2 linked regions of the Schizosaccharomyces pombe genome follow. The protein of the gene in region 2 interacts with the protein of the main gene of each other region in a pairwise test. Each region holds a gene or a part of one and is shown on either strand. Other genes may lie near its edges. The genes, in order: hrs1 and kms1.

Region 1 (3,600 bases), on a different chromosome or scaffold from region 2:
TAACAGAACTTACTTTTTAGATTACCGCTCTTTTTGATTGCAGAAAATACGATTTTAATATCTTTATTTAATACTTACAATATTGATGAGATAACAATCAAATAATACAATAATTATTATTGAGCTATAGGAATATTTAATCGTATTTAAGTAACTTTTTCAAAACTGATACCATTTCCTCACGTGGCACAAGCTGACCTTCATCGCTATTTTCTTTTAAACCCATTTGTTTAATACGAACAGATCCCTTTGCAAACTCATCTTGACCCAAAATTACAGCAAAAGGTACGTCGAATTTATCGGCGGCGTCAAATTGTTGACGTGGTTTGGGTTTCACTTTGTAAAGAAATTCTGCTTTAATGCCATTTGCCCAAAGGTCTTTACAAACAGACATACGCTCTTTCAAAAAGCCGGTCCATTCTTTTCCACCTCCAAATGCCATAACGAAAACATCAACATCATTTGCACGGATATCCTCATCAGGAATTTTTGATCTAAGAATTGAAAAAATCCTCTCTAAACCAAGGCTAATGCCAACACAAGGGATTTTGGCGTTTTTCTTTGCAGCAAACATTCCAACTAAATTGTCATAACGTCCACCAGCAGCAATCGAACCAACGCCAATAGAGTCATCATTGGAACGATCTGCTTCAGGATCAGCAGATTTTTTCTTTTCCGCCGAACTCTTAATCTTTGGAGCAGAAGCCTCTGTTACTGCTTCGTAAATGATACCAGTATAATAATCGAGACCACGCGCTAGAGACATATCAAATGAAAACCTATCTAACACTCCAAAAGCTTCCAAATAATCAAATAAAAGACGCATGTCGTTAAATGCAGCAACAGCCGAGCTATTGCTTGATAGTAAACTATCGGCTTCAAGCTTATCTAAAAGAGAGCGGTCGCCTTTTAATAACACATACTCCTTAATTTTATCTGCCACCTCCTCTTTAAGTCCTTTTTCAACCACCATTTCACGTCTGACATCTTCCCAAGGGAGTTTATCTAGCTTGTCCACAGCACTGGAAATGGTACGAATTTTGTCATCCGGTACACCACAAACAGTAAAAATGCCATCCAAAATTTTTCGATGATTAAGCTTGATAGTATAATTTCCAACTTCTAATGCATCTAATGCTTCCACTAAAACCTTTAAAGCTTCAGAATCGGGAATCATAGGATCGTAGTTGCCAGCGATATCAAAATCGCATTGATAAAATTCACGCATACGGCCTTTTGTCATAGCTGGCTGATCTCTTCGATAAACCTTTGCAATATGGAATCGCTTAATACTCGTAACTTTGGGATTCATAGCTAACCAACGAGCAAATGGAACAGTCAAGTCGTATCTCAAAGAACAAAGCTCTCCACCTTGATCTTTCAAATCGTAAATTAGCTTGCTGTCTTCTCCATATTTTCCGGAAAGAATTTCTTTCAATTCGAACACTGGCGTATCGAGTGTTACACCACCATGACGCTTGAATATCTCTGTGACAGTTGAAAAAATGTGCTCACGTAAAACAACATCTTTGTCACACCAATCTTTAGTACCCTTCGGAGTTTTCAGTGTAAAAGATGTGTCTTTTTTCTTTCCTGATACTTCCGAACCCCCAAGTTTGAGGTTTTTCAGTTGAAGTAATTTAGCAACTTCTTTATCAATGTCCTCTTTAGAGGCGCCTTGACTTTTCAAAGATCGAACAAGATTTCCTTGTGAAGTTATTCTTTCATTTATATCTACTAGAGAATCAGCCATAGTTCTCAAGAAACGCCAATTTAAGAGGCTAGACGAAAATTTGGTGGTGAATAGGTTTTTGGTAAAAACAAACATGCACTAACTGAAAATGCAAATCTCAGTATTACATCCATTTAAATACATTTTACGGTGATTGAAGGACTAATGAAACCATTTGTCATGTTGATTAAATAACCAAGAAAAAAATATAGAACCTTGGATAATGAAACATTGAAAATTTTTTGGATTTTATGTTATGCAAACCAAGTGGGATAATTTCATTTGAAAATAAAAACTAGTTATTATATATTTTTTATAAATTTAAAAACCTAATATTTGTGAAATGACAAGTTCTATAAGTAAAAATTTAATATCAAAAAACCTTTTAAAATATGGACTTTTTTAAAATAGTAAAAACACTCAAAAAAATCAAAAATAATGTATTTTAATATTTTAGGATTTAAATCATTACAAAACCCATTCCACTAGGCCTCGAATAATCAACACTTTTAGAAGCATCGATTCCTCCAGGAATTTTTGGACAGTTATAATTATAGATGTAATAGTTCAAAAAACCGTCTCCTTCTCCAAATTTTAGGTCCTTCAAGAATAGATTGTTATCCAAAACCGTAACAGCATTGAATACATCAAAGTGGAACTGTTTTGAATTATTAGCAAGTAATAAAACCATATAAACTTACCTTTTTAGCCAATATAAGAGCATCATTAACTATCAATTTACAACGTTCAACGAATGCCAACTGTGATTCAGAAGATAAGTCTTTTGGACAAGAATCAGAGGCATAGTAGTACAAGTATGCAGCTTGAATATCTTTGTATTTTGGGTTTCCTATTACAGTTGAGGGTAAAGAGTAAAACGAAAAAAAATCGGTAATTTTCTTGGACTCTGGATTCTCCACAACGTAACTCCAAACAACAGGGCCACTTGAAACCTTGTCAGTGTACAAAAACCAATGTCGCACTTCCTCTTCCGAAAATAAGTGGGCAAGTTCGAAACGTTCCATGTATTGAGATAACAGCGACTGAACGGCAGGTACATCTTTCAACTCCATCGGACGTAAACCCGGGGTCTGAGTATTTGGAGGTAAATGATATTTTGCAGTCTCCTTTTTCTCCGTTGACCCCAAGGGAAAAGGTGCGAATCCTATATCGTACAGTTTCTTCCAGTTTAAACTACGATGCATATAACGAGACAAACTCACGGGACTGGGTAATAATACACCGGCTGTATAAACAGCTTGCCAAACATTCTCAAGATGACATCTACGTGTGACTTCTTTAATTAATAAAGGAGTAAGGCGCTTGCTTCTAAGTTTTTTATGTATGCACAAGAAGTTCACTTCAGCACATTTCTTAATAATTTTGTCACGAACCCTAATACTTAAAGGAACAGCAGAAATGAAAGCTACCAACTTACGAGAGGACTTTACTCGTACTCCGACGTGCCATTCTTTTACATATCCAGGGGGCATAAGGGCCCACCTGAGAAACTCTGAGATGTATGCAAACCGAAGCATCGCCGTAGCATCCTCGACATAATTCTCAGTTAAGAGTTCATGAACCTCAGATAACTATAGAAATGTCAGCAAGTTTTGCTTCTTAATACGTAGCAGAAAACATCAAACTACACTAACCTCATTGTCGTTTGTTACATCAATAGTTGCCCACTCAAACTCTTTTAGCAAACGATAAGGTTCTCTAGGAACCTGGTTTATATCGGTATTGGGATCTATTGGGCCTTCTTGAGTACATTCATCATCTATTATGGTAAGCATTAATATGTATAAAAGAATCTCAGAGTATATTTCAACAAACCAGGATAGGCATACCAAACTTAGGAACTGGCT
Region 2 (4,140 bases):
GAAATCACTGTATCGACGAAGAACTTCACGAGTGTTAGAAGAATCAGATATAATATAATTATTATGGCGATAGAAAAAGTAACCACTAGGCTCAAGGTCAATGTCAACATTCATTTCCAAACTAGCGGGAAATGAAGTTGAACTGGAAGCCAATCTAAACGAACTATGTCTACTGTTTGACAGTAACGGCTGAGTGGAAGGGGAAAGGCGATTAGGAATCTTCGAAAAGGGCTTTCTAGGGGTAATAGCATTATCATCGACAGAAGAATCAACGGAAAATTTTGGAGGTTGTTGCGAATGTAAGTTACCTGCTTCTAAAGTCGAAGGTGCAATGCTGCTGACAGTTGAAGAAGGATAGGAAAAGAATCCTTTCGGCTGCTTTTGAATATCAGGAAACGAACGGATGATGCTTTGCTGAGCGTGAGGGAGGGATTTATTGGAGACGTCGTCATCCTCTTGTTCTAAAATTTTTGATTCATTAATGGAAGGGACAATGTTGGATGAAAGATTCAAGGCGGTTGTTGAAGCAGGAGGAGAATTATTAGGAAAAAGAGGGGTTTCATTATCAGAACTACGATTGAAAAGTTCCGGATTAAAACGCTGCAAAATGGGCAGGACTAAGGAGGAGGAAGTAAGCAAAAAGACAAAAAAAAGCAAAGATAAAAAAAAGCCTTACCATTTCTTTGCTTGAAAATCTGTTCCAATGTGCTAGGAACACCTAATTGATAACAGGCAACCAAGGCAAGCAAAACGAAAAACTGAATTTGCCGTAAGGGTTGATTGCTTGATGATTCAATCAAGGTAAAGAACTCTTTCATTACATCTTGAGGAACATGAAATATATCAGAATAACTTTCTTCTTCTGGAAATAAGAGAACATTGTTTGCTTGAAACACGTCCCAATAATTTCGATATTGCAAAGGAATGGATGAATTACCTATAGACAAAAAAAAGAAAAAGAAAAAGGTTAGCATCATTACAGTAAGTAAGTAAAAAAGCAAGAAAGATGAAAAAAAAAAAAATCAAGCTAAAGAAACAAATCAATGATAGAATGCATCGATCCGTAAAATTAACTATTAATTGAGAAGGAAAAAACAGAAGAACAAAACTTTTACTAACCAATTGCTGTTTTATAATTTAAAGGCTTCACTGGTGAACCCCAATTACTGCTAGATGCCCATGGATCAGGCTCTAAAAATACATTATCGCCCATAAATGGAAACCCCGATGTTCTCTATCTTTTCGATGATCACTTCGTACAAAAGAGAAAGAAAACAAAGAAGATTTAATAAAATTTGAAAGCTAAGAGAGGTCCAATTGAAAATGTACAAATAATGCTGCTAGCAAAGAATTCTAAGCTGACAAACGAATTTTTCAAATCTTCACGAAAGTAAATGAATTTTCTTGTCTCTTGCACCAGTTAAAAATAAAATGATACGAGAAATAACTAAACTAGCGTACAGAGGTTTCAAAATATGTAAATGGCAGAAACCAGGTTTTACACGCTCAAACACATATACATATGGACAGTGTTAATTTCGCCAAAAAACCTTTGACGTCACATCGCTCGCTTCTCATAAAGTAACATGCTAACCAACTGTTTTGACTGAGTAGTAGCTATATAGAAAATGTAAATAGAAGACGTTTTCGAAAGAGTTGGCTAAATTGAAAGAAAAAGAAGTAATTTCTGTATTTATTGCACATTCTTGGATGAAAAAATCTGACCTTTTCTATGCATTTCTTTTTTTACGATCAAAACCTTGTATTTTTTAAAAAGTACAATATATACGACGTTGATTGACTAAAACGATTCAAGGATCAAAATATAAGTTAAGTAATCAACCAATCTTATTTGGAGTCTATGAAAGATTCTTGGGCGATCGTTGTTTGACCCGCAATTATAAATGCTGGCGTTCTAAATTACTGCAAATTCGCTTGAAGTTCTCAGAGGAATCGATCGATCTATAAAACAAATACGAATAGTTTCTACTTCACTAAAAATAATTTTTTTTTTTTTTTTTTTTAATTTGCGATTTCATTTGAATTATCACTTAAGTATGCACAGTACGACCAAGTTGTGGCCTTACTTTTCTAGCTGCTCTTAAATCAAGCATAAACATGATTTCTTCTAACATCTTTTTATCTATTTTCAAGTTTTATTTTAATCCGTCTTTTTCTGTGTACTTCTTTTTGGTCTCTCAAACCACTTGCTCAACAGCCCTACTGCCAAACCCTTGGATAGACCTTGCACGAAACCCAACTCACAACACTTAAGAAATGCGGTGAATTCGTGAACTGTTATGAAATGCACGCAGCTTTATGATAAATTCTAACAAAAAAATTCAAAACTGAATCCCATTCCCACTAGAATTGTGGTTCGTTTCCTGTATAATTATAATTGCCAGTTCCCTTTCCAAAATGCTAAATGAACGCGATTTTGACTTGATTTTCGATTCATATGACTTTAAACATGAAGGAAAAGTATGAAAAAAATTGATTGCTTATGCAGGTAGATCTTGTTTATTGAGTCAGAGACAAACTCTCAAGACTCTGGTTTTTCTCGCTTTACCCAATTACCAATAGGATAAACTATTAACAAAAAATTTTCTTAGGTTCATCTTTCCAACTTTTTGCCAATCATCAATGACCTACAACTCTTACATCCCGCTTCTGCACCACCTCTTTTGAGCGAATTCCAAAAACAATGTACACTCGAATTCGTACGGCAAAATGCAGATCTCTCTATTACAAAGGATAATTTTCGAGACGTATATAAAAAACTTACTGAAAACGAAGATGACTCTTTTGCGAATCAAGCTGAAAAGCCTTCGATGGAGCAACAGAATTCCAAAAATTCTATCAAAGAGGATGCAAATGAACACTCTGTCAATTCTGCACATTCAAAATCATCTTCTAATGCCTCTCCTGAATCCTTAAACCCTTCTCAAATGATGTCTAAGAGACTGTCCTTGCCGCCGATGTCTCAATTTACCGACAGTGATTTTGTCAATATTCTTCGAACTCCATTTGCCCAATCTACACCACTAAATAGGTAAGAATTTTTTTTTTAGAAAAGTCATTAAAATTCTAACAAGAAGAAATACGTCGTCCAGAAATACTGAGATGCCACTTGTTAGGAAGGATAAACCTGATTTTTCCAACGGGCACCATGATCTAATCAAGCAAATCACAGAACTCCAGGATATGTTAGATAAAGCTCGAGATCAAGCTAGAAAGAAATCTCGTACTGTAGATATTTTAGAAGGAAAAGTGAATGAACTTACCCACCAACTAAATATGGCAGATTCCAAATATAATGAATCTAAGGTAGCCAATAATTCGCAAAATAACCAAATTAAGACTCTTAAGGCTCAAAATCTAAACATTCACAAAAACTTTCAGAAAATTCAGTCAGAACTCATACAGACAAACTCTGGCCTCTACTCCACAAAAAAAGAGCTTTCAGCCTTGCAAGTTCGGTATGCCACTCTCTTGCGTAAGTTTACAGATCAGACTAAGAAAATTGAGGAATTAAGCTTGGCTGCATCTCGGTCAAGTGAAAATGAGAATACTATTCGTCGGCTTGCTTTAGAGAACCATGAATTAAAAAATTCTAATAATCAGCTAAACAACCACATAGATGATCTTACTAGAGAAAAACATTTAATTGCTTTGTCTAATAACCCAAAAGGAGATGAATTTTTATCACCCTCTAACCTTGACGAAATGGTTTACTCCAAAGAGGTTGGCCTTTCTTTCACTCAACCATCAGTTTGCATTTCTATTCCTGCGGTTGGAATGCGGGAAAGTGAAGAATTAAGAGAATTGGAATTTAAATGTAAACAACAAAAGAAAACGATAGAAGAATGCAAACACATAAGTCAATCATTGCAAAGCTCTCTTACTGCTGAAAGTTCGCGAAACAAAGAATTGGTTGCTGGATTTTTGATGCTTTCAGAGGAAATTGGTATCCAAAAATGGATTATTCAAAGCCTTTCCAAAATGTCTCCAACCCTAAACGACTTTTGTCGTCGGTACGATTCCTCTATGCCAACATATGAAGAATCAAGCCACGAATGCACAGTTCTTTCGAGCTTTAGTGACGATGAAACAGGACTCATGGCAACTAATACAACAATG

What was found.
Region 1: the proteins of kms1 (region 2) and hrs1 interact in a two-hybrid assay, tested with the Schizosaccharomyces pombe proteins (one study listed by BioGRID).

Annotation. Positions count from the first base shown.
Region 1 is NC_003423.3:3,455,393-3,458,992, reverse strand, and holds hrs1 (histidine--tRNA (His) ligase Hrs1), read right to left. Parts: upstream 1,829-3,600; coding exon 137-1,828; 3' UTR 81-136; downstream 1-80. Other genes in the region: myr1 (N-myristoyltransferase 1), read right to left, coding at 2,193-2,390, 2,434-3,324, 3,388-3,512, 3,583-3,600.
Region 2 is NC_003424.3:3,460,647-3,464,786, forward strand, and holds the start of kms1 (protein Kms1), read left to right. Parts: upstream 1-2,251; 5' UTR 2,252-2,418; coding exon 2,419-2,481; exon of another isoform or gene 2,482-2,612; coding exon 2,613-3,052; exon of another isoform or gene 3,053-3,098; coding exon 3,099-4,140. UniProt on the Schizosaccharomyces pombe protein: Has a role in karyogamy, recombination and segregation during meiosis. Although it has been shown to associate with the spindle pole body it is unlikely to be involved in its formation or maintenance.